3 linked regions of the Mytilus edulis genome follow. The protein of the gene in region 3 purifies or fractionates together with the protein of the main gene of each other region. This does not show direct contact. Links are inferred from orthologs where the notes say so. Each region holds a gene or a part of one and is shown on either strand. Other genes may lie near its edges. The genes, in order: serine/threonine-protein kinase RIO1-like, H/ACA ribonucleoprotein complex subunit 1-like and methylosome subunit pICln-like.

Region 1 (10,513 bases), on a different chromosome or scaffold from region 3:
TTTGGTAAGAGATGACCTTGTGTTGCTGAAAAATAAAAAAATAAAAATTAACCGATCAATATTAAATTTTATACAAAATAAATATGTTCTTATTTTTTACATTGTTTTATAGAAAGAATATTCAAATATTTTTTCTGGTGTTTTTTTTCTTCTTCATATTGTTGGTTTTTACCCATATAGATGTATACCCCACATCTTCCTCCATATAGATCTTATTTAATCAAGGCCACAACAACAATAAAGAGAAGAAATTTTCAACTACAGCTTACAAACACAAAACAATGAATCTGAATGTTACAACAAGCTTCTTCTTCCAAAATCTTTCCAGGAAAATACACAAGAAATCATGAACCTTGTTTCCAATTTATCACACAAGATACAAAAAAAAAAGTAGCCTAGAACTTTTAAACAGATGTGGGGTTCAATGTAGATATCAATTATGTCAATGAGACTGCAACTTAACTCAAAATAGTTTTCAATTAAGTTATCATTGATCTTGAGATGTGCAAATTTTTTGCTATGAAATAAACTGACTGAAAAGACAAATGAAGTCAAAATTTGGTCTTTTAAGGTGGTACCCAACACTTTCACTAAAATTAATTTGGCTCGTTTAATTTTCATAAAATTTTGACAAAGTATTGACTTTGACCCTTTGACAAAAATATAAAAGTTTCAAAAAATTTGAACCAAGCATTTTATCAGAAAAATTACACTGGTTATATAGCAGTTTGACAAACACTAATTTTGATCATTGAGAAGCTTAATATTCCCTTAAAAACACAACGTCATTAAAACGTTTAGGTGATTTTACAGAGTTATCTCCCTGTAGTGTTAGGTACCACCTTAAAACAATTAAATATAATTTGCTATTGAATTAGTCACAATTTTTTTTTTTTAGTATATCTTTATTTTGAGACAAATCCTACCTTTCAGCGTCAGCATCATCAAACTGCCCTTCTACTATACATGTATCTGTTGACATATTCTGGAAAAAAACCCCATAAAATACCTGAATGAAGCATGCAATATATCTTTTAATATCACAAAAAATAATAAAGAAATGGAATGATTCAAATAAATTCCTTTTGGACACCTCAGCCTATAGTAAGGTGACACCAACCATAAATTGATGTTCTCAAGAGCTTATGCTTTTATTGTTACATATGAACTGAATCAAAATAAAACTTTCGTATTTGTTTTCATGAAGAGGATGTATTCATCCAAACACTGTATAGAGCAGGACACAGGAAAATTGACCATTGCTGCACTAGCATTTTTATTTCCCATTTAACATTAGCATAACCCTGGTTTACCACTCCTAATCTGTTTGAATAGAAGAAAGATATACATTGTAATACTTGATATTCCAATAAGAGAATTTAGATATCAAGGAAAAATTAGGTCATTATGTCACAAGACATACATGTATGTCAGGTCATCCAGGGAATAAAAAAATATAAGATGTTGTATGATTTGCAAAAACCAATTGTGCCAGACCCTCGTGGGTAGTCAAGGTTGTAAAAAATTGCCTAGTAGTAGTATGAATTGCCAATGAGACAACTCTCAACCAACTTTGGGTCATTGATGGCGTTCAACAATAAGCATACACCTTATGACTATTTGTCCACCATAACTTGACATGCTTCATATTACACAGGTTTCCGTAAAATTTTGACATCATAAAACAAAATATCTGATGCCACAATGAAAAAGTGATTGTTGTATGTGTCAAAAGTTCAAGCGAACAGGTCAGCCGGGATCAGGGGATCAACGATAAGGTGTATTCAGACCCATCCTGCATTCATTCATAAAATGAAATTGAGAGTTAATCAATAATATTTGCCATGACCGTGAATTTTTCACTATACCATATTATAATTTATATACAAAATGATTTAAAATTCCAGTCTATGATGCTAAAACAAACACTGGCTGTCTAGGCTATTAACTGTAGGTATGGCAAACCAATGGGAGATAACTCCAAATTACCCTAAATAATTGTTCCCAGATGTGTGTAAAAATAAAATCTTTGGGTGACCTCCGATTACGGCCTTCTATTAACTTGTTAAGTCTCAGAAGGTTCTGATTGCTTTTGATAGATATTATATGAATATACATGATTTTGTATATTATAATTTTCGGGAATACGATGAAATATTTGAGGTACAAACAAGGGTTTGAAAGTTACATTCGTTTCAAAAAAATACAAGGGAACTTTATACAGCCATAAAATGTATTTTTTTTATCAAGTTTAATATATTAATTAAATAATTAGGTCCAATAAATAAATCTAGATAGCTGTGTTCATATCAAAATTAATTTTTATAAATAACCCTCCTTTTTGTGTATACAGAGTTATTTCCCTTGCATGGACAATTTTTGGTTTAGTTTTGATTGGAAATCAGCGGCGATAGTTTTTTTTTGCATTATACAGCCAGTTTATTGCGATTTAAAGATAGTTCAACCACTTGCCATTGCACACGAGATAGTAAGGATACTGAATAATGTGGTTTAAAACATATGTATTTTCAACATGTTCAACTAAAAAGACATACATAGGAATCCATGCAGTAGTGGCAGTTCACTTTGAATGCTATTCACATTCAATGCATTTTGAACTTCAGTCCTGAACGAGATTGGTTTACAGATTTCACTGTATAAATATTGTAACTGATATACAGATATGAATTTACTTTACTTTTATACATACATGTAAAAGTATTTACAGTGATCTGACATAATTATTTTGTTTGAAATTTCTTGAATAAAAAATAGTTATATTATTTTCATTGTTTTTCAGTGCAACAGGTATTTTAGTCCTGTAGAATAATTGTTAAAAGCTTGTTGTTTATTTTTATTCATAAGCATTTACTATGTACATGCTATATAAGAATAAGAATATTTCATTAAATAGAATGTTAATGAAAAGGGAACATTCTAAAACTATCATGACTATACAAAGACAGATGACATGTTTCAAAACAATTCTTGTCTCTCATGGTACATCTGATTTTTATAGTTCGTTCTTATGTTGTACTGTGACAGGTCAGGGGAAGAATTGGGCACCCGCTAACATGTTTAACCCCACCATATTCTGTATGTATGTGCCTGTCCAATGTCAGGACCCTGTAATTCAGTGGTTGTCGTTTGTTGATGTGTTAAATATTTGTTTTTCGTTAATTTTTTGTACATAAATTAAGCTGTTAGTTTTCTTGTTTGAATTGTTTTACATTTGTCATTTCGTGGGCCTTTTATAGCTGACTTTGCGGTATGGGTTTTGCTCATTGTTGAAGGCCATACAGTGACCTATAGTTATTAATTTCTGTGTCATTTGGTCTCTTGTGGAGAGTTGTCTCATTGGCAATCATACCACATCTTCTTTTTTATACACACACACAATTAAACATATATACATTTGTATATAAAGAGTAATATTCATATTAATATTTTGTTTCTTTACATTCAAATGTTTATAAGTTTTACTTTACATTTTCAATATACCAACTGATGCTCTGAAAAAAGGAATATATAAAGTTATCGTCATGTTATGTGACTTTGGACGATAGAATTTCATGAGAGTGGTTGACATTTTCATGCTTTATGCTTCGAATTTAAACAAAAAACTTAACATGGAGGATTGAAATTGACTTACAAGATGTAAAAGAAGCAATATTAACAAAACTATAACCCAAATGATTAAAAAAATATATTTTATTATTTTTTAAAGAGAGGAAACAGTTTTTCCAGAATAGTAAAAAATTTCCATTTTGAAAATTTGCTATTACTTCGTTGTTATTATGTGTATTGATAAAAGTGAAACTGTTTTGAAAATGTCTTCACAATGCCTTTAAAATGAGATTAAGTTTTCTTAGATCAGTTGATTTAAAAAAAATCACTTTCCGTACCTATTAACTGATTAATTTTCTATCTTAAATATTTATGTAGAAAGATGAGACTTCTATTTTTTCCATATAGTGAGTAGGATACAAGGAAAGTCCGTGGTAAGATATAAATACAGCACAAACATCTTTAAACATGATAAAGTTGTCTGTTTCTTAAGAAACCTTAAAATGACAAGACTTACTACGACGACATGTGCTTGTTCAGAACGACAACATTGTGTAACATCCGGTAGACGATGTTAACCAATCAGGTCGTTTGTTTTATTCTTTCATCTAAATTCTACCAATCGCTATGTTTTTATTAAAATTCGTCTGCATAAATATGTTGCTGTGAAAACACAGCTGCAGCAGCAAAGGATGTTGCCAATTTCACTTCTTCTACCGCAGTTTGAAAATTTATTTGATAACCAGGTAAATAAGATACATATGGTACTCAACTGTAAATAAATTTCCTTTCAATTTTCATTAAAAAATCGTTGCAATAGCAATTTATTGTGGTCTTGAACTGTTCAAGGCAAAAATCAATTTTCTCAACTGTGATTGTAAACAATCGACAGAGCGAGAGACAACCTTTGGCAAAAGCAAATATATATCTGACAGTTCCGTCAGTCGAGGCCTTTAAAACCTCGATGACAAAGCTGAATTAAATTTCCAAATTTTGGGGAGGGGGGTGGTCAAATATGCAAACCAAACCATGGCAGTATAATCAGTTCATTGATTCTGACCATTATCTGGCAGAAGCAGAAGTATAATATTATTTAATACAATAATTATAAAAATATAATAGAATTTTATTATCAAACTCGGTTTTTATTCTATAAAGTCTAGTAGTAGTACTCTACTCTAATTTCTAAATCATCTAGGCTAGTCCTAGTCCAAATAATTATGACATTTTGAAAGGCTATTATATTTTTTTTTCTTTGACGCCTTACATCGACAGAAGGAGTCAAAGCAAAAATTTAAGATAGCCTTCCAGACGTCATAATTATTTGGACTACATCTAGGCTATTCACAGGTGTTCTTTTACAAACACACAAAAAATGATCATAAGTTTTATTTTTCTTGTATTAAGGGCATCCGATACAGTTTTTCGATATGTCATTTTTATAGTTTTGAAATATGTTGTTGGCCTTGGCGAGTTATAAAATAAAACACGAAATAAAATATAGGTCACCGTGCTCGTTTTCAAGAAAATTGAGGCTGAAAATTGGGGATTTGTGCAATTTTGTAAAAGAGGTACATGTAGGCAATGTTATAAAATTTTTGGAGCATATATTCTTCGTTGTAAATTATTAAGATCGGGTTCAATTTGAAGCTGTGATAAGTGACAATAAATAAAAAAAATAATCGCTACACGAATGACTATACAATTATTCAAGCCTTGCTTGACCTTGCGAACCAGATCCTCAAAGTGGTATTTTTTAATCCCAAAAATATGAAAATAAAGTGTTTCTGAAAATGTCATTTTTATCATTTTTCTGCATAAAGTGCATTTTGTCATGCTTTCTCCAAATCTCAAATAAAAAATATATGTCACCGTGCTGGATTCTATGATAAACACGATTTATCCTAAAAATTGCGTCCCCCCTTTGTAACCTCAACGTTAGCGCTTAAGTGCATGACATGGCTGGCAGACTTTTTCGATGTTATCGCTGCAAACTGGCGACATTTTTTAGATGTATAAATATTGCTTGTAAAGAGCTGCCTATAAATAGGTAAAATTTAGAATGGAAATGGGGAATGTGTCAAAGAGACAACAACCCGACCAAATAAAAAACAAAACACAACAGCAGAGGGTCACCAACAGGTCTTCAATGTAGCGAGAAATTCCCGCACCCGGAGGCGTCCTTCAGCTGGCCCCTAAACAAATATATACTAGTCCAGTGATAATGAACGAATATTGTTTTCGGAAATAAAAATCATGTACATCATAAATACATCTCTTTGTTTGTGGTCTAAGAGAGAAATATCTCAAGAAAAGTGCTTACGGACTGTTGATAATTTTTCGGCTTTTAAAACTAAAGACTTGGCAATTTAGAACTTGACATTCAGGTACATGTACTGTACACACTCGTGTATTTACATACTAGTATGTATTAATTTATACCATATGTTGACCTCTAGATGTTGTTTTTTTTTTTATTCATTTTGTTTGGTGGGCTGCTGTTTCATTACAATACTCCTTTAAATTCCTCTATTCACGTTTTAATCACTTTTAAGAATTTTACATTAATTCATAGAATTAAACTTTTATTCGGGTCAATGTTACAATTGAATAAAATTGAGAGGCTCCTAAACAGTTTTAGAATTCACAGTTTTTATAGCTGACTATGCAGTATTGGTTTTTCTCATTGTTAAAGACTGTATGGTGACCTATAGTTGTTAATTTTTGTGTCATGTTTGTCTCTTGTGGAGAGTTACATCTCATTGGCGATTATACCACATCTTCTTTCTTGTTTAGTTTAAACATATTTATTTATAGTGGATTGGGAAACAAGTTTTGCAACTTATATTAATCCCTTTCCACTTTGCGGGTGCGAGTGCTGCCTTGTAGCGGCATTAGCCTACTTTTTTTTGAAATCTACAAGGGTGTCTTTAACATGCAAGAGATATGGCTCTCTCTTAACACGGATCAACCATTTAGCGTCCCCTTCCGACGGACTATCAACTTTCCTCAACCCAAACTGGAATCGAACCAGGAACCTGTGTGTGAGAAAACAAAACAAAATCTTATAAAGGAGAATCTTCAATATGCTAAAGGATGCTTTTGTCCAGACAGAGCAACTATACCATAATTATTTCAATTTTTGATTTGGCAAACACGGTTGAATTAATAGCGAGAGGACTGGACATATTACCTATGCGCAATTTCATTGGAAATTATAACTATATATTTTTTTCACCACAGCGAGCTGCATTGCAGGGTACATAAAATATCACACTTTCATTCCTCTGTCGGTCCTTATGGTTAATTAGATTTTTCAAGTGTACAATTCTTGTCAAATTTCTACTAAACTGATATCGTATGGACACGTTCCAAAATGAGTGCATATCAACTATCCTTTAAAAGATACAGTGCAGACTTTGAAAAAAACAACCCTGGTTTGGTTACTTAAAAAGTTCACCAAAAAGAATACAGATCGATTGACCATCATAAAAAATACAACCATGACATTAGGATAATATGCTGTATCATATTTACGACGGACAGACGGAAGCCTGACATTTGTATACCATAATACATCCCGTCAAAATTTTTGCATGAAATATTTGCCACTGGACGTTAATCAACCAACAATTAATTAATTTATAGGACTTAGTCTTGGTATTAAGCTGACATTTTAGGTAGCGACTTCCTCATATCAAAAATGATAATTCACATGCATTATATTAGGAACACCAAAAGGGTCAGTCATCTAGAGATTGCTACATTGTAACTATACGATATTTTGTTGAAGATCTCACAGAAACAGAAATGTGTTTTATTTCTTATGGTTTTATTAGACTGTTATCCTGTCAGAATCAAATCCACTAATATTAATGGTGTAGAAGTTAGATGTGGGAGAAACAAAAATTGGAGCATCGAAAAATCCACATTACGTTTCTAATTACGGAAAATTACACGCATTACGTCCCGAAAAAAAAGTGATGTTTTTCCGGAATTTAAACGCTTAACCTCACGCCAAGATTTAACTGTATCAGATGACCTTAATTACAAAAAAAAATCAGCAAACCAGCACAGCTTACAATTAGTATTACATTTTCACACATTAACAATGATTAATTTCAAAGATAATTATAAGCCAGGCAGTATCTGTGGACCTCTTATGTTGTAAACTTATATAGTCTGTTAGTTAGCAGTGTGTATAGAAAGTCCCTGGTTGGGACGAGTATCTAAATAGGCATTTGTACCAGCAACCAGTTTTATAATACAACTTATCGGTATTTGTTCTCCATTACTGGATATTGCAAAGATTCCCATTAAGTTTTGACCTCACAATAGAAAATATCTGACCCATCAAAAAAATGCATCTGTGGAAGATTCTCAGGTCGTCTAATTTAAATTAAATCCTTGAATTGTGTGCATATCAGATCAAGAGCAATTCAAGGATTTCACATACTGTTTTTGTGCAACAATGGAAACCCACCAGGCTTTTTCGCATAACAAGTAGTTAGAAACAAAAGCCATGGGAGACAAGCAAGTGCTATTTTCAACTCCTGAAATTATTCTTCTGTTCAACACCCCAAGTATAAGTCAACCAGCAAGTTAGACCACCATTTATGAATAGCCTGGTTACAGTACTAATCAATCAATGTAATATGTCTTTTCCTTTCAGGTTGATTCTCATGATTGAATGGAACTGTGAATTTGTCCATTTTTATGCCCCACCTACGATAGTAGAGGGGCATTATGTTTTCTGGTCTGTGCGTCCGTTCGTCCGTCCGTCCGTCCATCTGTCCGTTCGTCCGTCTGTCCCGCTCCAGGTTAAAGTTTTTGGTCAAGGTAGTTTTTGATGAAGTTGAAGTCCAATCAACTTCAAACTTAGTACACATGTTCCCTATGATATGATCTTTCTAATTTTAATGCCAAATTAGAGTTTTTACCCCAATTTCACGGTCCACTGAACATGGAAAATGATAGTGCGAGTGGGGCATTCGTGTACTGAGGACACATTCTTGTTATGTCATATTTTGTTTTTTTTCAGATGAGACATCTTTAAAACCTAATAAGCGGTGTTTCCATGTTGACTGATGATGTATTATTTACATTTCTCCTCGGTAGTTACCATACTTATGATTATATTACCAAAGGATATCACATGTTATCCAGGGGAAGAAAGATATGATATGGGTAGATTAGAAGGAGATGTACAAAACTGGGCTCAGCTGATAGAAAACTACATACTGCAGGTAAAATTGTATACCATACATGTATGTATACTGATTCATATGAAATTATACATTAAATTAACATCTAATCATTATCTGTACAACACATACACATGTTAATGTATATGTACATGTACATGTAAAATAAGTGAATGATGATGATCAAATTAGAAGCATTACTAGAATAAAAATTGACATACATAGCTAAGTACATGGCATCTCAGCAATTTTGTTTAAGAACAGGTTAATATTTGTATATTATGACAGTGATTTATACATAATCAGCTTATTTGTTTCACAATGTAACTTGATGCTTTGCAAAGTTTTAACTGGACACGAAAGGATGATTGCTTGTCTTTCTGTTTACTGTCAGGTATTACTTTTAAAGAAGATGAATATACTAGATTATAAATAAACGTTATATACATTTATTCTTAGAAAAAACTAACCTTATAATTAGGGCCCTATAGTGATCAGTCTGTCCATCCGTCCGTCCGTCCGTAACACTTTAACTTTGTGTCCGCTCCATATCTAGAGAACCATTATGATTTCATACTTTATACTTTACATGTTTATTAACCACCACCAGAGGGCGTGTCATGATGTATGTACAACTTCCTAGGTCAAAGGTCAAGGTAAAAAAACTTTGGTTTCAGTTGACAACCCTGTGTCCTGTGGTGAAGATCATGTCCGTTCTAAATCTTGAGAACCGTTATGATTTCAAAGTTTATACTTGACATGTATATGAACCAACACCAGAGGGTGTGTCATAATTTATGAACGACTGCCTAGGGCAAAGTTCAAGGTCAAAATTTGGTTTCAGTTGACAACCCCATGTCCTATGGTAAAGATTGTGTCCGCTCTATATCTTGAGAACCGTTATCATTTTTAAGTTTATACCTGAAATGTATATCAACCAATATCAGAGGGTATGTCATAATTTATGTGCAACTTCCTAGGTCAAAGGTCAAGGTCAAAAACTTTGGTTTCAGTTGACAACCCCATGTCCTATGGTAAAGATCGTGTCCGCTCTATATCTTGAGAACCGTTGTCATTTCAAAGTTTATACTTGACATGTTTATAAACCAACACCAAAGGGTATGTCATAATTTATGTACAACTTCCTAGGTCAAAGGTCATGGTCAAAAACTTTGGTTTAAGTTGACAACCCCATGTCCTATGGTAAAGATCGTGTCCTCTCTATATCTTGAGAACCGTTATCATTTCAAAGTTTATACTTGACATGTTTATAAACCAACACCAAAGGGTATGTCATAATTTATGTACAACTTCCTAGGTCAAAGGTCAAGGTCAAAAACTTTGGTTTCAGTTGACAACCCCATGTCCTATGGTAAAGATCGTGTCCTCTCTATATCTTGAGAACCGTTATCATTTCAAAGTTTATACTTGACATGTATATAAACCAACACCAAAGGGTGTGTCATAATTTATGTGCAACTTCCTAGGTCAAAGGTCAAGGTCAAAAACTTTGGTTTCAGTTGACAACCCCATGTCCTATGGTAAAGATTGTGTCCGCTCTATATCTTGAGAACTGTTGTCATTTCAAAGTTTATACTTGACATGTTTATAAACCAACACCAAAGGGTTTGTCATAATTTATGTACAACTTCCTAGGTCAAAGGTCAAGGTCAAAAACTTTGGTTTCAGTTGACAACCCCATGTCCTATGGTAAAGATCGTGTCCGCTCTATATCTTGAGAA
Region 2 (10,911 bases), on a different chromosome or scaffold from region 3:
TTCTACAATATTTACAGTTTGTTTTTATAGCTTTTCAATCTCTTGGTTGATGTTCCTGATCCTAAGGTCAATAATATTACTTTCGAGTTCATCCCTCACCGGAAAAAACTTGTCAATTATACACACCTTTATGACGTCATTTACCAGATAGAGGGTATGACCTGTATTCAATTCAATTCAAAATATTTTATTGTTCAAATATCAAATGTACATTTAAACAAAGGGATTGGACAAAAGGCAGTGCCTATACAAATCCTTTCCCATACAAGATGGATTGAAAAACATGCATGATAGTATATAATTTTCTGATAAGTTAATAGATAATGGTTGTTTTGAGGTATTAAAATGAAAATTCCCTAATGACAGCAGTGCTGATTGTCAATTTTGAGAATTCAATTTTCCGAATAATTTGTACAATATGAGAATTATAGTTTTCCAACCACTCGCTCAACATTGGAATGGAAGTGATGACGCCCCTAAACACTCAAATGACTTATTAAAACCGGACTTTTTGTCGAAAATGCATCGAACTCGAAAGTTGTCTATTAACAGTCAGGGGACTTACTTAAATGAGGGATTTTCTAAATCACTGATTCAAGTAACATTCTTTCCATAAAGGTTGAAAGTAAGAGTTGTCTTTCTTTAATAATCACCTATTTAAGTAGTACAAAATAAACACTAGAAGAAGTGATTTAATTTTACTGTAGCTTTAGATATAGAATACTAATGATCCAGGGACTAATTATGTTTCTTAACTTATCAGAACCAACATCTGTGTTGTCTAGGATCAGGGGCGGATGCAGGAATTTTCAAAAGGGGGGGTGCTAACCCAGGGCAAAGGGGGGGGTGCAGGGGGGGTGCAAAACATATGTCCCGATACAAATGCATTGATTGGCAAAAATAAAGGGGGGGTGCGCACCCCCGGAACCCCCCCCCCCCCCCTGGATCCGCCACGGAGGATGACCAGGTCATTTCAGGTGATGACCTTGTACTGAATCTAGGATAATGACATAAAAATCACTTGTTTAAGTATCATACCTCAATTTCCTTCCCAAAAATCACTTCTTTAAGTAGCATTATTTTAATAAAGGATTAACACCTACTAATTTCAACACCCCCGAACAGTGAAATTTTTATCGTGAACAGTAGAATTTTATTACATAATCTGAAAGATGAAACCTTGAACTTTACAGGAAAAATACTCCCACTGCTGGGGAAAATCTGTTAAGAAAGTATCAGTTCATTAGGCCAAAATAAAAAGATTGTATGTTTGCCCAAACGCGACCAACCCAAAATAAACCCGCCGACTCAAAATTTTTTTTGGACGTTTTTTTGAAGAATTTTTTTTTGAAGAATTTTTTTTGGGTCCGCTCCGTCATCGTACAAAACTTAATGTTAGTCGTCTTTGCGTTTGAAAGTAACTGAATAAGATTAAAAGAAAGCGTATAAAAGACGCAGTTAATCGATATTCGATGTTCTCTGTTTTTATCTTCTGATTTAACGAACGTAAAGAAGTAAAACATGTGAAGTGGCAGTTTTTTTTACGCTGTAGTTGTCTGTACTACCAAACCCTTACCTATATGCTCAATGTTAATTTCATCGTGTTATCGAATATCTGATAAGAATATTCAGGTAGATTTGTTCAAAACCATGTGCAATCGAATATTTTCAATGTTATTCTGACAGGAAATGGATCCGGAAAAGTTGCGAATTTACAATCTTGCAAGAAGATTTTGTTTTTACTGAATAAAAAAGAATTATTTCTTGATAAATTGTTGTCTTTAATTATAATCTTTCTTTATCATGTAAATTAGATGCCCTTTTATTCAAATAGTTCAAATTTACAAGTCTCATTAGACAAGATCAGTACGTTGCTGTTTGGGAGAATTTGATAAAACTATAATTGTTCACAGAATCAGAAATATAATCTTAACTGAATGTAACTCCCTCTGAATAATTTATTGCAATATAAATCCCTTTTGACAAGAGAAATCTGACTTTTGACAGAAATATTTTTTTCACATGTGCAAAAGTAAAAACATGTTATGGACGCCATATTGGATTTTTCTACAAATTTGTGAGGAAGCCTCTAGAACCATGACCTAAAAATAAATAGTCTTCAGAAAACGTTAACTTTATGCAATTATATTTTATCAATAATGATTATTTTCAAAAATTTAAACTTGATTATTTAAAGAAATAAAATTATAACAAATACGTTTTTAGTTTGGAGATTCTACAGAACATGCTTTGATCTATTTACCGGTATAGCCAAATTAGTTTACCTGTGTGATAATGTAAATACAAATTTGTTTTCAAAACATAAACAAGACACAAACTAAGGATGGTAGATAATAATTCATATAAATATTTTAATAGAAATAGGATTTAAAAACTGCAAACAAATTTAATCATTACATAATCAGCTGATATTTTTTTTACAAAAACATCGTGTTGATGGAACTGTTGAAAATCACTTCATAAATCCACCAGCCCTTTCACACAGCTAGCAATTGTCAGTGTTATAAACATCTCAGGATACAAATCATATAGTAGACTAATTTATTTATAGAGGTTTTAAATTCATGGCTTTTGGTTTTCTCTACAAAGGTTTGACGAAAAAAAAAAGATATACTGTTTTAAGATCTTTTAATATTTTCATGCAAATTCTGATAAAAAAAAAAAAAAAAAAAGAATTTGCCTACCTACCTACCCACACCCAGTCATCATGGGTCGGGTTTGGGCAAACTGAAATATTTTTAATTGTGGCCTTATGTAAAGCCATTATTATAGCATTTTTTTCAACTGAAATAGAATTGCAGCTAAATGATAGCATCAAAGGCATAAACCTTGATACTTAAAACAAGCAAAAAATTCATTTTTTTCAATTTTACTAATAAAAAGATATTATTTAAACCTATGTGTTTAAAATTTTGGTAAAACTACAAAATCACAATTTGTGACAAAACTTCGAATTTGCTACACAAAGTGATTTAAAAATCACCAAAGTGATTTAAAAATCACTTATTTCAGTTAGTCCCCTGACTGATTAACATGACCATGATGACATGTCTCTCTTGTACTGAATATTCCTCATATGGTGCACTATTTCTCATAAGTACGATGTTGATGTCCCACCATATTTCAGTGTGTTCATGGTGTTTGTCAGTCTTTAAGATTTTTTTTAGCAACAAATGTATTTTGACCTTTTGAGTGTGAAATAAGTCAAGATTATATTATGTTATAATTTGTTTTTGAATCTTTGATATTAACCATTTGTTAACCATGCTGTAAACTGAAGGTATACATGGTACCCATCAAAACAACATTTGATAGAAAAATTTAACAATACTTTTAGATATTTGGATGATATATTGGCTCTAAATAATGACGACTTCAGTATGTATACTAAAGAAATTTATCCTGTAGAACTTACTTTAAACAAAGCTAATGCTAACAATGACCACTGCCCTTTCCTCGATCTTGATATCTATATCATAAACGGGAAGCTTAATACAAAAGTTTATGATAAAAGAGATGATTTTTCATTTCCTATTGTTAATTATCCATTTTTAGATGGTGACGTTCCCTTGTCACCATCTTATGGTGTTTATATATCTCAACTTGTACGATTCGCTCGTGTATGTAACAATGTATTAGATTTTAGCGAGAGAAATTTATGTATTACTGAAAAATTATTACACCAGGGTTTTCGATATCACAAACTGGTCAAAACATTTACTAAATTTTATCACCGGTATAAGGAAATAATTCGTAAATATAACTCAACATGCAGACATCTTATACGTTCAGGTATTTCACATCCAAAATTTTATGGAAATATTCTTTATAAAGCACAAAAATGTCAGTATTCTCCTCAGAAACTAACAAAACCTTTAAATAGACTTATTAAAAGGGGATATAGTTACGATACTGTTGTCAGGTCATTAAAGATTGCATATTTTGGCTTTAACATTGATTCACTGATAGGGTCTTTGCATCGGAACTAAACACATTTATTTCTAAAAAAACAGTTGTTGGCATGACACGGGTTATGTTCTTCTCATATATTTTATGATAGTATGATACTAAACCCCTAACGGGAGGGATTGTACCTGATATTCATATGATGAAGACATAATCTTTCAATCAGTTTAATTGAGGTCTGGAGCTGGCATGTCAGTTAACTGCTAGTAGTCTGTTGTTATTTATGTATTATTGTCATTTTATTTATTTTCTTTTGTTACATCTTTTGACATCAGACTCGGACTTCTCTTGAACTGAATTTTAATGTGCGTATTGTTATTCTTTTACTTTTCTACATTGGCTAGAGGTATAGGGGGAGGGTTGAGATCTCATAAACATGTTTAACCCCGCCGCAATTTTGCGCCTGTCCCAAGTCAGGAGCCTCTGGCCTTTGTTAGTCTTGTATGATTTTAATTTTTAGTTTCTTGTGTATAATTCGGAGTTTAGTATGACGTCCATTATCACTGTACTATTATGCATATTTTAGGGGCCAGCTGAAGGACACCTACGGGTGCGGGAATTCTCGCTACATTGAAGACCCATTGGTTGCCTTCGGCTGTTGTTTGCTCTATGGTCGGGTGGTTGTCGCTTTGACATATTCACCATTTCCTTTCTCAATTTTATTATGGTACATGTATATTATCTTAAATTATATATCCTTGATAATATAAAAAAAAATGTTTTTTTCACTTGTTTCTGGTATATAACTATATTTAAAAAGACAATTTAATGTATGTTTCAATATTTATTAACCATGTTGATTTAAACAGGCGTTTAGTTAAGAAAGACAACTCTACCTTCCAATCTTTTTGGACATAATGCAGTGTTCTCCCCAGAAATTTTGGATAGCATCACATTTGGCGTAAAAAAAAATGTATTTTTTTCAATGTAATTTGTCGCATCGTGGCAATGCTCTATTTCCATTATGATATATATGCTTTATTGTTTATTACAAAATGTATTATATTGTTTGTATGCTATAGGTCCTTATTTGGTGAATAAAATATTCTATTCAACCCTATTCTTTGTGTCAATATTGTTGAATTCATGACTGAGAATACAATTAAAGTATAACCATGATAACAGTATTTTCAGTTTATGTTTTCTATATATTCATTTATAGTTCCAGAATTATTTTTCCTCTTGGGCCAAATGAAAAAAATATGTGTGGTTCTAGTTACCCTACCTACATGAACTACCCAGTTAAAAAAAAATCTTTATCATGTCTATGAAATATATTGGCTCATGGTATTCAATGAATCAGTCCCAGTTGTTTCTTTTTATCAAAATGATATATATTCTTAACAAAGTTATCTGACAAATAGTCTGTTTGTGCTTAGTTTTCTCTTTAGGTATCATTGTTTTCTGTTTACCATGTTTACTGTGCCATTTGTGCAAATGTAGTTATTATTGTAAAATACGGATTTTTGTCATATCTGGTCTGGTTCACATCATTAGTTTACACTAAAATATTAAATGGCCGTTGAAAGCAATGAAAAATACAAAAATAAACAATGTTTGACAAGAGATTTGGAATGAATATGGCGTTTTTAATGCATTAAATGGATGAAGCATAAACTAAAGCCAATATTGATCACTTTCTAAAGAAAGACCAAAACTTATTTAGCTCATAATCAAAATTTTCACTCTCGATTTACAAAAAGTGATAGGAAGAGGAAGAAAGTATATACTACTGTAATATTTTGCAGACCACGTGGTATTAATCATGTCACAAGTGACAGCTTAGGGTATTCCAATCCAAACAGTTATCCCCCAAAGGCAATTAACTCCTATTTATTCACTCTTATTTGTCTATTGTCCGACATGAAGGGATTAAAGGTGATATATTTTTTATGATCATAAGCGGTAATTAGATGAAAGTTCAAAATTTAGGACATGGCTTTGCCATATAGAAACGAGAAAAATAACATCCTAAAAATAATTATAGCGTCACGGAAATTATTATAGCGTCACGGGAAGAAAATATAGCGTCACGGTACCGCGATGCTAAAACGTCCTGGGGAGAACACTGAAATGTTTTTTGAATCGGTGATTTAGAAAATCATTCATTTAAGTATAAAGTCCCCTGACTGTTGATTATTATACTACTTAGAAAACAAACTGAATAAACAACCTCATGGAACATTGGTGATAATTTTTATATATTTGCTGTTTCAAGGTTTTAGCATTATGGGATTTGAAAGAGGTGGTGGTAGGGGTGGAGGCCGAGGAGGAGGAAGAGGATTTGGCGGTGGTCGTGGAGGTGGATTTAGAGGAGGTGAGTTTGATGGGGCTGATCACAAGATCTTGACTTATTTGGATATAATTTGTTCAAGATGATCCATATATAAGTTTTATACCATGAAAATTATACATGTACATGTACATGATGTAGCAGTCAACCCTCATTCTTCATCAAGCTAAAGATAACCATCCAATACTTTTTTCTTCATTGTTCTTCAGAATTTGGAAATTTTCTGATAGTTCCTTATTATTGGTAGCAGAAGAGTTCAAATCTCCCACTTCAAAGAAATGTCATGTTTTCTCCTTCTTCACAATTATTAGCCAATAAATACTTTAAGTCATGTCAAATTGTTTAAACATTTATCATAACATTATAAGCTTGCAAAGTACAACGTTACAAAGTATTCCTTATATGATGTTACAATGTAGCACAGTTATATCAATGTGTACATACATATTTAGCTACATATACCTGCAATTGTCAGAATGATTAAATGCTGTTAAATCTTGGTTGGTATATGGGCAGGAATTTGCTAGTGAAATTTTAGGGTCAATAGTGTTTATCCAATTAAAAAATAAAGAAATCATGCAAATATGGAGAATAAACATTGTTTAAATATCAAAGTGGGTTAGTCTTTATTGCCACATGCAAAAAAAATGGTTCCAATTAAAAAAATCAACAAAAAATCAGCACTTGTTATGTGCTGGCAGTTGAAAACTGTAGACAAAAAGTGTGACATTTCTGCAGTGGCAAAACCCCTAGTCATATTTAGAATATGCCTGAAGAATTGTTCTACTATAATAGTTGAAAATCAACTGCAAAATGATCGGTCTATCATTTAGAAACCCCATTTTGTACAGAATCCGATTATTGCTGCAAATAAAATACGTTTGAAAATGGACAAGTGCATGTAACTTTTCCCGTCAACAAATGTTACATGCACCTTTTCATTAGCTGATTAGCTTTGGAAACAAGTTATTGGTCCAGCATGGCAAATTTTGAAAGGTGTCAACAATGGTTACAATTTGGATTTCATGATTTTTATCAATCAACTGAAGTTTGAAAAATATAGAAGGTACGAAAATTTATTTCATTTTCGTGTCAATACTGCCCAATAATACTTATCTTTTTATAACAGTTGTATACTTTTTATAGTAAGCATTAACATAATTATTTTTTTCACATTTCAACCCACTGACAATTACATTAAAATGTGGCTTTGTCATCTTTCACACTTGGCATCTACCAGTGATCAAGCAGATGATAAGAGAGTGGGACCAGGTTAATTTGACCTCACAATGAAGTGTTACATGCACTTTTTGTGTAAATTAGGTTCTTTGATAATAATGTGTGACTTGCTTTGCAATTTTGTCAAAAAATATAAGTTTATCTTGTATTTTAACAGGTTTGACCCTTACGATATTCATTTTATTGCTGGAGAGATTTCTGTACATAACATTGACACGAAAATATTTACCAAGGAAAGGTGTCTATGATACATGCAAAAGCTTTTTTTTGTACGGTTTGCCTTATCAATCTAATTTTTTACATGTAATACCACAGATTAATTGCCAATTTGATTAACTAGTACTTGTATTCATTCTCAGCATTATAAAGATAACTGGCCACTTAATTTGAAAACATAAAATGTAACATTGACACCAGAATAAAAACAATATTACTTTATTACACTTAAAGCATAATTGGCCAGTGCATAATATTAAATCAAATGTAAATTTAAGCTGAATTCTTAACAGAGAAGTTGTTGATCTTTCTTGATTTCTAGACTTTACAATATTTACTTGTAATTCTTATCGTTTAAAGGCATGTAACATTGACACATCTTCTGTGTCCAGGTTACATGCTACAACCTAATAAATGTGCATACAATTATTCAATCAATAAAATCTTGTTGAAATTTAAATTTGCTTCATTAAAATGATATTAAAGAAATAAATGAGTTTCAATTATTTGTGTTTATTTTTTTCCTGATTGACTAGCATTTTTTCCTCATCATTTGTTGGTGTTCCTGTCAATGTTACATACATAACCCAGAATTATAATGTTTTAAACGCATTGATTTCCAAACCTCTGTTATGAGCTTTAAAATGAGTTTATCTGAGTTTATAAATGACTAACATCTGAAATATTGTCATCACACAATTTCTTTGATGCTCCTATGATAACTTTATGAGTAACATGGACTACGATTTTTGTATCAGGTCTTTTTTGTGTTACATGAGAAGATTTTACTGTGTTGAAATCAACAGTTAATCTAATTTTTTATATTCAAAGTTATTATTATGATACTTATTTTAAAAAATAATGTATAAAGTAAACCCAAATTAAACTTTTTTTTCATTAAGAAATTGCATGTGTATGTAACATTGACAGAGTCTATTATTTAGACTTTTACATGTTCAGGCCATTGTTACATGCGTACACACAACTTACTGCCATATGGAGCTATTATCTTATTTTTATTTTACAAAATTAAAGCGTTTTCATGTTTTCCTGTTTAATTTGTCTTTTAACACTAGCTAGTAACATTGACAACAATATTTTGTGTCAAGATTTTTTTATGTTACATGCAAAGGTATTACTTCCTTAAAGTCAGAAATTTATATAACATTTTATAACCTAAATGATTAATTAGATATTACTGGGCAGCAATTATATTATTTTTCCAAAGTTGACTATTAAGCACACCACTTTCATCTTCTGGTCTTCATGTATGTAACATTGACATACAACCTTTTACTTTCTGTCAATGTTACACGCATGAACAGAACTGATAACATTTACTAACTCCTTTGCTCTATAAAGAGATTATTGATAATTTAACTTGTTTTACCACCATCAAACTTCATCTTTATTTCTAAATATAGATATTCTTTTTAGAAGTGTATTTTCTTCATTGACAACAAAATTGGTGTCGGTCATGAAAATTTACATGCAATTTTTAATAAAAAAAATCTACAGGCAATATAAACCTAAGAAAGAAAAAGATGATCAGCAATAAATGTGATGAAGAAAACTCTCAGGAAGATGCTGCAAAAAGATACTGTCCCTGTCAACCAGTCAGATGGTGATGTCCCTGGCAGCCAGACAGATGGTGATGTCCCTGTCAGCCTTGAAGATGGTGATGTACATATCAGTCAATCAGTTAGTTGGTGATGTTCCTGTCAGTCAGTCAGTCTGTGATGTTCTTGTAAGCCAGTCAGAGGGTAATGTCCCTGTCAGCCAACAGATAGTGATGTCCTAGTCAGCCTGGCAGATGGTGATGTTCATATTAGTCAGTCAGTTGGTGATGTTCCTGTCAGTCAGTCATATGGTGATGTTCCTGTCAGCCAGTCAGATGGTGATGTCCCTGTCAGCCAGTCAGATGGTGATGTCCCTGTCAGCCAGTCAGATGGTGATATCCCTTTCAGCCTGTCAGATGGTGATAACCCTATCAGCTTGGCAGATTATGATGTCTGTGTTAGCCAGTCTGATAAGGTCCCTATTAGTGAGTCAGGTGATGACGGTCCTTTCAGCCAGTCAGATAGTAGTGTTTGTCTGTGTCAGAAAACCAGATGATGGTGACTGTGTATGCAGACATAATAGTGATCTCCAATTTGACCATTCTACAGCAGTGTAGAAGATTGTTATTTCAAAATCTTGTTTATTTATCCCTTTTCAATCACCAGTCAACACATGTATCATGTGTATTTACTGATGCTCATTATAGAAATCATGAGGAATTCAATTTGTAACATTTTTTTTTAATTGTTATGCCAATAATTGACATTCCAGAATATCTTTTGCATTATAAGAGGTTCAGGCTCCTTCTGATTTCAAAATAATAATAATAAACTCATCATGGATACCAGAATTGAAATTTTGTAGCCCAGAAACGCTTTTCGTTTACAAAAGACTCTTCAGTGACGCTAATTATGAAACAAAAAAGTAAAAGAAGGCCAAATAAAGTTGAAAACAGGACTATGGTCTGTTGTTTTTCTCTTCTGAATTGTTTTACACTGGTCATTATGGGGCCCTTTAAATTGTGGCTTCCTGTAGTTTAGGTAACAAGTTTTCAAGATGAAATGGCATTGAAAAATCGAAACAAGATATTTGAGAGTTTCTATATTATTGTAAATTTTATATTCTATGCATGGATTTTGGTTCTGATTAAGGGTAGATTAATTGTTGTTTTGGTTATTTCTTTTTTCAGATAGATAGTTGAAGATGTTGGAGACAGAAAACAAGAAACAAGAAACTTGTTTTGAATGTTTGAAATAAAATTTATTGTTTAAACCTTAAAAAGTTATCATAAATGTAAGATTAACCAGCAGAAATAAAACGAGATATGGGGTAATATGTCTATCAGACAACAACCTCAAAGATGAAACCCAAATTGTTCTTTATAGAAGTTATGTAAACGATTGAAAATAAGATTCTCAATAAATGCAGCTGTATCAACCTCTCGTAGATTTGTCCATATTTTGTCTTGGTTTTTCATACTATTAGTTTTAAGTGTAACTGTGTCACATGAATGAGGGATACATGTAATCATTTTGTACCCTTACTTTGTCAGTATTAGTTATTGCGTGAGAAACTTGTGGATGCTGGTGGTTGTGTGGTTGTGTGGTTGTCTTCTT
Region 3 (11,056 bases):
GAACTCACGGTTCTATAATTGCGAAAGATCAAGTGGTTTTTAATAAAGTGATCTCAAAATATAATTTTACATCACATATTTTAATATTTTCATTTTGCACTTTTGGTTAAAACCTACACCACAATTAATATCATATTTTCACAAACTAATATACCAGTGAATTACAATTGAACTACTTACGATTATTATTTAGCTGACCATCACCTTGACCTAATAAATTTTCCATACGTTGTAGATTGGCTTGACCTTGTTCTGATAAATGGTCTAATCCATCTTCTCCTTCATAAAATCCTCCTTCTATAAATACATACGTTGTAAATTTAGTAGCACCATTCAAAACTAACATTTTCACTAAAACTTGAAATTTTTCCATTTGTGAAGGGGCATAATTCTAGAACAGTAAAGGTGGTGCCACCAAAATTCAATCTTGATCTGTGCTTTGTGGTAATAAGTTTTGGGTATAAGTTCATAACATTTGGTTGAGCCAAAATAAAGTTAGAGAATGGAAATCAATTTTTGGATGTACAGACGAACAAGGGTAAAACTTAATGCCCCCTCAGCTATGGCAATGCATAAAAAATAAAAAAACATTTAATAATCAATATGTCTTAATTATGAAAGTTTAAAAAGATATTTCTCAATATTAATTTACTTATTAGTGGCTATGAATTACTATCTCATGGATGAATATCTCCTTTTATTTACACTACTTGCGAATGAAATCGTTACATATCTTTATAAATCATACACTTTCTTAAAGATTTTAACAATTGGTTGATGATGGAAGTTTTTAACGACCTTGACTGGCTATACAGCCCTTACGAGGTCAGCTAAACAATTGGCCAGCAGGTTTTTGTCCTTTTAAACAGAAACACAGACTGGGATTAAGCCAATTGATAAGTTACTACACAATTTAAACACAAATATTGTCTATAACATTTACCATCAAAATCTGAATCATTTTCATCAGGATGCAATATCTGACAGTCTGACATGGCTTTATATAACTGATCCACTGAAAAAGAGAGGTATATTGAAATAAAATTTGATATGGCTTAATATCACTGATCTACTGAAAAAAATAATTAGGGCAAAAGGTATTAAACTTAATGTAAGTTGTAAGACAATAATAACAAGCATTCTGAGAATCATTTGTACATAGTCCTCTACTGGTTAGCATGCATTGTACTTGAACAAAATGCTTACTTGATCTATTACTTGTCATGGTGTAAATTTATAACAAACATCAAGTCAATGTCTTCTAGCATGACGAAAAAAAGGGTGGAAAACTGATTATTTAATTGAGTCGTCCAAGGACAATAGCTATCATCAGACCAGAACAAAATTTGAACTTGATCTGTAACTTTTCATGATAAAACAATAGTCAAAACAGCAAATGTCAAATCAATAGCTGCAAACACAAAGAAAAAAATTGTGGAACACTGATTATTTGAGTGAATTTTTCAAGTCCAAGGATCATAACTCTGCACAAAATCACCAGCCAGAACAAAATTTACCTTGATCTGTAACCTGTCATGATATTAAAACAATATAGCAAATATCAAATCAGTATCTGCAAGCATGAAGAAAAAAGTGTGGAAAACTGATTTGCCAGACTAAAGGAGTCAAACCTAAAGCCGCCTTGGACTTGGTTGGTAGGGGACTAATAATAATAAATTTATAGATGTCAAATATTACGGACATTTAAAGTTAAATAAATCATATGCATGTTTTGAAAACAAGATTTATATAAAATTTCCAGTACAACTGTTATCCCTGAGAGAGTACATACACACAGTTTTATCGTCTGGTACAAATCTCATCTCTGTTGATGGGTCAAGGTCTTCATCATCTGATTCTTCCTCCTCTCTGTTCGCATCATCTACAACACACATGTAGTTTAGCACAATATAGTTTACCGGCTATTCTGTCAATACAATGTTAGCAAATTTTTTCAATATATTATACGACAATTTGGAGAAAAGATATCATTCTCAATTTTACAGTCAAACACTACTGCCACAAAAAACATCGGTAGATTTGAGGTTCACTGGGTATTTTGTCCATACAATATTCATCTTTTTTTATCATGTTTATACACCAAAAAGGATGAAAAGTTTTAATGTCCTAATAAGCATTAAGTGTTTTTTTAAATTTGTTAGATGTATGCCAGTATTATAATTATGTCATGTGTATGTATAACTGTTAACATGTACTGTATCAGTTTATTTCAAAAACTGATACACGCTCAAATAATTCAGTAACTTAGTTTAGTTTAAACATATTTATTTATAGTGGATTGGGAAACAATTTTTGCAACTTATATTAATCCCTTTCCACTTTGCGGGTGCGAGTGCAGCCTTGTAGCGGCATTAGCCTACTCTTTTTCGAAATCTACAAGGGTGTCTTTAACGTGCAAGAGATATGGCTCTCTCTTAACACGGGTCAGCCATTTATCGTCCCCTTCCGACAGACTATCATCGTTTCCTCAAGACCATACTAGCAGATGGTGTCAAGGGAGAGCTGAAAATTGAGTTCCTGAAACTTTCATCCCAAACGGGAATTGAACCAGGAACCTTTGTGTTAGTAGTCCGATGCACTAACCACTACACTACGGCTCTCTAACTATTCAGTAACTATAACATGTACATGTATAATATATATATAATTGTAGGATTTCTCTGTAATATTCATATATTATTTTTGTAAAGACTTATCATACTGATATACTGATGTTAAAAAAGCAAACTACAAAAGTTCGTTTTTGGTTGTTGAAATATATATGGCAAATCGTTAGCCTTCAGAAATAGAATACATGCATGACAATTGTAATCATAAACGCTTCAAATTTTTATTTTTATAACAATTCGACCAATATTAATATTGATTTATTGTTTACCAGTTAAATCTCCTTCCACCATCAAGTATAAACATTCATGTGGAAAGGCTGTTAAATCTCTGGATACAGCATGTATACTTATACCAGGGTACTGTAAGGAAAACCCTTGTCCTTCATGTTCTGAGCTCTGCCATGACACACAACTGAAATTAAATCATGAGGGACTTTAATGGGATATGAGATACGGTAATAATTTGACTTAAATAAAGCAAATTTATCAGATCATGATGATGTAATATTTTGAATGGAAATTGGCTAACTATGGTTAATGATTGGAATGCAGTTATAAGATTACAGTGGAGTCCCTGGTGTCCACATGGCTGTTGATATCGCTCATTAGCTGTGGAATGCAGTTATAAGATTACAGTGGAGTCCCTGGTGTCCACATGGCTGTTGATATCGCTCATTAGCTGATTTCGTCATATCTGCACAATAGCACAAATAAAACTGTTCTTGTAATTGTTTTAGCTATCAGAAGGGATAGAAAAGAATAAAATTGATAGTTGAGAGTAAATTTATAACTGCAATCCCATAATTTACCATATCTAGCCAATTTCCATTTAAAAATCAGATAAAATTTGTTTTATTCAAGTCACATTTATATGAGAATGGAATAGAATAGAATAGAATATTTTTATTTCCAAAATTACAGGGCCCATAAAGGGCATAAAATCAGATACAATTGATTTACATAATTGGTAACAACAACAATAATTAAGAGGCATATGCATATATATTTGGAATATAAGTATTGGAATAAATTTTGCTCTGCCTCATTGCAAGGCAGTGTGTTTGGTTCAAATTTGTAGTATTAAATCTTTTTCTTTATTCAAAATAAGCTATTTTTGGAAGGCATGAACGAAATCACCTGACATTTGACGGACTGGTAAAACAGGGGTTTCCATAATTTTGAACACATCAAATCTTCAGGGTGAAATCATACAAACAGAAGATTTAAGTAATAAAAGTATGTTATGAATGTGTTAATGCAATATTATCCAACTATTGGTTTTATCAATTGAATGAAGTGAAGTCATAAGTCTTAGGTGCCTAGATACACTGTACTGCCAATACTCTTGAAATTATCAATTTTAATATTTTTCTGTTCCTTTGGAAAACTAAAACAATTACAAGAACAATTCTACTTGTGTTACATTGCTTATATGTCAAAACAGGTAATGAGCGATATCACCAGCAGCGGGGACATTACTATATGGGGGTCTCATTGGGGGTTCTAATCCCGGTTCCCGCTTACTGTTAGATTCCCATATCCCGCTTACACTTAATGTATGTGGGCTAAGCAATTCTCATTTTTTTGTAATTTCCGGTGTTCCGCTAGACCTCATTTCCCATTTTCAGGGCAGAAAAAATTTGACTTTCATGTGTCAAGAGTACAAAAAAATTGGCAATCCCACGTCACGCTTAGACCCCAATGAGACCCACCTGTATGCCTGTATGTGTGTATTTGTTTGATTATTTTGTAAATTGTTTGTTATATTTCATTGCATTTGGCTTCAGGGAAGATTTGTGTTATACTGTGTAACACTCTTTAAATAAAGAATTATTATTATTATTATTATTGAAGTATACAAGTGTGTAAACACAGTAATCAATATCATATCATCAATTATCATCTAAGTTTGAGTTTGATAGCAACCTTTCTGCAATAAACAGCGTGCCTTTTCCAAGTGCTCTTTCGCCAACAAATGCTGACGTATTTTCCTGTTTTTTCCGTATCCCCTCATCTGGAGGGGAACATGAATTTAAGAGAACCATTTCTTCTTTGACAACCATGCGTCCAACGTGCGTTGCAAATTTAAAGTGAAACTATTCTCTAGATTTTTCGCTGTAAAATAAAAAAAGTCCAAAGAACATCCACGCAATATGTGTATCATCTCTGCGTTTGAGAAAGCGGTAGTTTGCATGTAAATATTCAAGCACTATTTATGGTCCCTTCTTTCAGGTTACAAAGTCAGTATATATCACTGAAACACATCCTACTTGTTATTGAAGAATGCCAGTGAAATAAAACAGGTAAATTTCACTCAATTAAATCAAAGACATAAACCGTTTTTTTTTCAACATACTTTTGCTACATAGTTATTTTTGTAAGAGCTTTTAGCTAATAAAATATGATGGATGTGCTAGGAACTAAAGTCTGAAAAATTATGGACGAAGATACATTTTATGAGGCAGTATCCTTTTATATTATTAAATATATAAAGAGGACGAATTCCGTATAAATGTGATTTGTTATACAGTTTTGATACTTTTTACTTGAATCAGCTTAATAATTTTGAAGTCAATACTATTGTCAGTATTGATTGATTGATTGATTCAGCTTAATAATTTTGAAGTCAATACTATTGTCAGTATTGATTGATTGATTGATTGATTATTTTTGTTTAAATAATACAACATAAGATCATACAATCTAATTGTTCATCCCAAGGTTGGTAGTTGTTAACAGAACTCATTATGTCAATACACAATCTACAGAGCTTATTATGTATTGTTGTATGTATACAAGACTTTAAAATAAATCTTTTATGCATTTTATACAATTTTGTACATAAAAAAAAACAAGGACTTGTGACTTACTATACAAATCCTTGAAAAAACCCATAATGATCAGGGATTCAGATTTGAGCGAAGAAGATGACTTCCTGTCTGTGACTTTTCTTTTCTGTTATTAAACCCTGATAAGCTAAATTTTGTTGTGTATTGGGAACCCAAAGGTGTCGTTAGTGTACATGGTGAAACTTGCAATCAATGGTATCATATTGATTGTTAGATTTTACCCAGTAATTCATATGATATGCTGAATGATAGCATTATAGGTTGGCACTGTTTAATTTTTGAAAATCCAAACTGCAAGCACATGCACTTTTTTCTTGGGTTTGTGCTAGTTCATCTACATGTAATTCATTTGAAATTTTATATCATTCATTGGACTTTTATATATCATTTGACTATTTAAATGTAGTCCAAATAATAATGAGGTCCAGCAAGACTATTTTGATTTTTTTCCTGGGCCAGACATCATAATGGGCCATTCCAGTTAATATCTGCTAAAGGGGGATGGATGGTCCTTTCTGAGGGGTGTTAAATTTATACATCTTAGGGGTGAAATTTTGGGTTTTTTCATCTGACACGTACACTTATACGCAAAAATTTCTGAGGGTCTTGCAGCAGTAAATAATTAAAAATAATTACATCTTAGGGGTTACAAAAAATACCTATTTCAGATCTTAGGGGTGCTTTGGAATGTAGACAGTTTCGTATCATGCACTATCTGGCATTATATTTAAAATTCTGATGGGTACAATCCTTGCAGTAAAAAATTCTGATAGGTCAATTTTTTCCATGAAAGCCCATCCACCCAATCTGAACAGAAACTCTACATCTGATAGGTCTTAATATATAGATCTGATAGGTAGTTTTTCGTGATGTTTTTTTCTGATAGGTATGAACAAAAATCTCCCCATCCATCCCCACCTGTCAGAAATTAACTGGAATGGCCCAATTATTTGGACTAATTCAAATGATGACTGTGCCATAAAAATGCCAAAGAACTTTTAAACGATCTCACCAGTCTACACCAAAATATACAAACAAAACAAACATAAATTGTTAGACATCTCTAAGAATACTTTACATCAATTTTCAGCTAAAATAATGATTGTTAGGTGTACATGTCTGACTGGCTTGGGTAATCTGACCTTGACCTCATTACAAGGAATTTATAATTTAAAGTATATAAGTGGTTGAGATAGGTTGCACATATCTTTGTGATAGTTCCATTAATGTTTGCCTAAATTTCAGGGTAGATTCTGTTCGGTTGCACATATCTTTGTGATAGTTCCATTAATGTTTGCCTGAATTTTAGGTAGATTCTGTTCATCTGTTGGGTTTCACATAGCTTTGTGACAGTTCCGACCATCAATGCTTATATTGCCTGCCCTTGCAACTGAAAGGTTAGGGGGCATATTGTTTTACCTCTGTCCTTCCTTCCCTCTGTACGTTTGTCCTTCCGTACGTCCCATTATTGGTATATCGTTATTCCGCATAACTCCTTCTACAGTTCGAATGCTAGGAAGTCTACTTTGCTATCTGTTTGTATATATACTGAAGGTGTGCATGTGGCTAAGAGTTTTGATTTTTGTCGAGCCTGCAACATATTTTTCATATGGATTTCACATGAGATTCTGACATGTGAAATGCATGTGAGCAATTTTACATGTGTATCCATTTTTTGTCTTGCGTTGACGGAGTCAAAAAGCGAGACATAGGTATGCTGTTTTCGGCGTCAACAATGTATTAGTTTGTAATTAGGTCTAGTTTATGGTGAACCACAAGTGGTAGGTCAATCATATTTGGTATGCCTTTTTATAAGCATTGGCAAATCTCATTTCCATAGAGATTATTTGGCCCTGCCCCCTCAGTCATGGTCTAGATCTATTGACTTCGAAACTTTTGCTTATTTTACATGTATTAGTGCCTGATTAGGTCAGTTTATGGGGAACCACAAGTGGTAGGTCAATGATATTTGGTATGCAGTTTTATAAGCATTGGAATATCTCGTTTCCATGGAGATAATTTGGCTCTGCCCCCTTAGTCATGGTCTATAGAGTTTGAAATTTATTCTAAGTTAAATCATGTATTAGTTTGTGATTAGGTCAGTTCAAGGGGAACCATTAGTGGTAGGCCAATTTTATTTGGTATTCAGTTGTATAAGCATTGGCACATCTCATTTCCATGGAGTATATTTGGCCTTGCACCTCAGTCACAGTCTAATGACTTTGAAACTTATCTTGGTTTACATTTATTAGTTTGTGATTAGATCAGTTTAAGATGAACTGCTTATGTTAAGTCAATAATATTTGGTATGCAAATTTATTGGCATTTGCAAGTATTGTTTCCATGGAGATTATATAGCCCCACCCCCTCTTCATGGTTCATTTACTTCGAAACTTTTTCAAAGTTTACAAGTTATAGTTTGTATTTAGATTTGGGAACGACTTATAATAAGTCAATGGTATGTGGTATGCAGTTGTATTAGCATTGGCACATTTCATTTCCATGGAGATTGTTTAGCCAGTTAAACTCAGTCATGGGTCATTGACTTTGAATATTTGCATAACTTGTGTAAGATGTTAGAGTATTGCTATTTGGATTTCAACATTTGCATAATCAAAATTACAAAAAGGCGAACATATCTCTGTGATAACAGTTTATTTTCATAAATTATGATAAAATCAATTTAATTACAAAAACTGAGTTGAAGTTTTTTACTGAGACTATTATGCTAACGGGACTGGAAGCTGTTACATCTAGTTAAAGAATATATATATAACTAGTCCAGTATTGTAATACTACCTTTTTTTTTGCATTTGATTTTGTTTTTGAAATGGTTCAGTGTAAATGTCAGAAGTATTGAAAATATTGATTAATGATATTACATAGATAGTTACAATAAGGGTACCAGTAGAACCAGTTGATTAATCACAGACTCCACATGTAAGCTTACCATTGATATTATATTAAAGTCATTTAACATGTCTGAATATTTAAACTATAATGTAAAGTTGATTTTAATTAGAATTTTAAAGGAACATTTATTTGGTATTTTCTTCTGTTTAAACTAATGAAACTTTTAATTGTGATCACGTTACATGAATTGATAAAAATAAAAAATTGCAAAAAATATTTGTTAAGCAAATTCAGTAACAAAGTGACACATGTAATGCTTATTTTTTTTAATCTATTTAAAAACACAAATTGATCACTTCCTTAAAATTGCCGGAACTGTATTACCATATATTATAATGAAAAAACTAAAAAAAGTATTGAAATTATGCACAAAATTCATCCATTCTTTCCTCTAGTAATTAAACCCCTTTCTAAACCTTAAGCTTTGGATTCTCACTGATGTCTTCTACAGCATTTCTGGATATAAGTCCTTGTTTATAACAGACAGTTCTAATTTTGACTCTTTCTGCATGTTTCCAAAAATAAGTTTCAATAAATGGAACACAACTGTTTCTATTTACTCTAACACTCTAATATGGAACAATATTTCTTGTAAGATTACATTTCAACATATTGACCAGCTGTACCTGGTTTCACTTGTACTCTTACATGTTAAAAAGAAACAGGATGTCCCTGTCAAATCTCATATTTTATGGGAAATATTTCTTATCAATGGATGACATTAGTAAAAAATGAAAATATTTCTATCATTAGGGGAGATTATGATCAGAATCAAGACAGGACATACTATTGATTTGTGTAAATGATTTAATGTCAGTTTACATTTGTTAACTGTTTAGAAATACACTAATTTGTGTGTACTATTGAAGAAATATATCTCAAAGGGTATTTTGTCAGATGTAACTAGCTAAACTATCCTAACATTAGAAGATATATATCAGCTGAAATGTTTGAATAGATATAAGAAGATCCAATGAGACAACTTTCCATCCAAGTCGCAACTTGTAAAAGTACTTCAATACTGAGTATTGGCTCACATCGAACAGTTAGCTATAAAGGGCCCCAAAAATGACTAGTGTACATGTAAACCAGCGGTCTAATCTACATTTGTATATAAAAAACAAGAAACACTTATGAATCATATCAACAAACAACTACTACTGACCATGAACATCAGATTCCTGAAGCATATATACATTTGTATATACAAATATAAATAAACTTTATTTACAAAAAAAATGATTTACATGTAACCCAATAACTGAGTGGATAACACATTAAACTGAAACAAAATAAATATATTTGTATTGAATATTGAATGATATAACAATTAATGGATTTAATCATTTTGGCATTATTTAATTTAAATTGATTCTACATGTACATTTAATGTGGGATTTTATGTAAATGAAAATGCGATCAAATGAATACTTGAACAAGGATTTGTGCATATGTTGTGTAGCATCATTAATTCAACAATTTTTACCTATACTTTATTTAAGTATAATAATCTTGTTATTTATATATTTATTTTTGTATTGTATATATTTTATCTTCAAACTGTACAGGAACATATAATGATCTTTATTTAAATCTCAATTGATAATGATAAATACAAAAATTGACCTTGTTTTGTAAACAATCAACACAGATAATATCTTGGGTTTGTTTATTTCAAATATCAGACCCTGGACACAATGTGAAGCTTTTAAACTATTTTGATTACTTATTAACCAGATTTACTTGCTGGCCAGCAGTTGATATTTTGCAATATATATGTTGAGAAAACCCTGTAATCTATAAAGAATGATATTCTTATGTATGCTCTTAGAATATTGATACTAGTATAATTCAAATAGTATTATATATATATTTAACCTTTAAATGCCATGTGAACTCCACCAACCAATAGAACTGGTATTATATATATATTTAACCTTTATCAAATAGTATTATATATATATTTAACCTTTAAATGCCATGTGAACTCCACCAACCACTTGAACTGGTATAATTCAAATAGTATTATATATATATTTAACCTTTAAATGTGAACTCCACCAACCACTAGAACTGGTAGTGACCAAGAAATTGATTTACGTCATTTATGTACACCATGTGCTGTTTGATACTCTGGTGATAAATTTTAGTACAGAAATATATATACAAACTAGGAATTTCTCGCTACATTGAAGACCTGTTGGTGACCCTCTGCTGTTGTTTTTTATTTGGTCGGGTTGTTGTCTCTTTGACACATTCCCCATTTCCATTCTCAATTTTATGTTTGTAATAAGATCTAGAGGTGTTAATATCATGTTTCTATACTCATCTTAAAACAACACTTAGAGTGCATTTTAACCCGAAATTTTGTCATCGATGACTATCGTTTAGTAAACGTTAAGCTGCTAGAAACAAATACATCATTTAATAAACTTCATCGACCCCGCGTAGTCAGACAGAAATAGATTACACTCACGCACTGTAAACAAACAGGTAAAAGTGCGGGAAATAAATAACCAGGACTTTATGAAAACAACACGTGCTCGTAATTATTTAAACGACAGATGCAGAAACAAATATATCCTTTACACGTCTCAACGATAAACGATCAACGACTACGCGACTATTTTGCGCGTACATCGTTTATGTAAACGATGTAAACGT

What was found.
Region 1: the proteins of methylosome subunit pICln-like (region 3) and serine/threonine-protein kinase RIO1-like purify together in Homo sapiens (affinity purification with mass spectrometry; 3 studies listed by BioGRID and IntAct, with this or other methods). This does not show direct contact. The link is inferred for Mytilus edulis from reciprocal best matches to the Homo sapiens genes CLNS1A and RIOK1.
Region 2: the proteins of methylosome subunit pICln-like (region 3) and H/ACA ribonucleoprotein complex subunit 1-like purify together in Homo sapiens (affinity purification with mass spectrometry; 3 studies listed by BioGRID and IntAct, counting the BioPlex papers as one, with this or other methods). This does not show direct contact. The link is inferred for Mytilus edulis from reciprocal best matches to the Homo sapiens genes CLNS1A and GAR1.

Annotation. Positions count from the first base shown.
Region 1 is NC_092344.1:84,428,573-84,439,085, reverse strand, and holds the start of serine/threonine-protein kinase RIO1-like, read right to left. Parts: upstream 4,154-10,513; 5' UTR 4,085-4,153; intron 986-4,084; 5' UTR 983-985; coding exon 927-982; intron 26-926; coding exon 1-25. Other genes in the region: voltage-dependent calcium channel subunit alpha-2/delta-2-like, read left to right, coding at 8,655-8,813. UniProt on the Homo sapiens protein: Involved in the final steps of cytoplasmic maturation of the 40S ribosomal subunit. Involved in processing of 18S-E pre-rRNA to the mature 18S rRNA. Required for the recycling of NOB1 and PNO1 from the late 40S precursor.
Region 2 is NC_092352.1:81,857,741-81,868,651, reverse strand, and holds the start of H/ACA ribonucleoprotein complex subunit 1-like, read left to right. Parts: upstream 1-6,206; 5' UTR 6,207-6,216; coding exon 6,217-6,304; intron 6,305-10,911. UniProt on the Homo sapiens protein: Required for ribosome biogenesis and telomere maintenance. Part of the H/ACA small nucleolar ribonucleoprotein (H/ACA snoRNP) complex, which catalyzes pseudouridylation of rRNA.
Region 3 is NC_092346.1:104,452,175-104,463,230, forward strand, and holds the start of methylosome subunit pICln-like, read right to left. Parts: upstream 4,805-11,056; 5' UTR 4,694-4,804; coding exon 4,557-4,693; intron 3,043-4,556; coding exon 2,900-3,042; intron 1,883-2,899; coding exon 1,793-1,882; intron 1,016-1,792; coding exon 944-1,015; intron 298-943; coding exon 181-297; intron 1-180. UniProt on the Homo sapiens protein: Involved in both the assembly of spliceosomal snRNPs and the methylation of Sm proteins.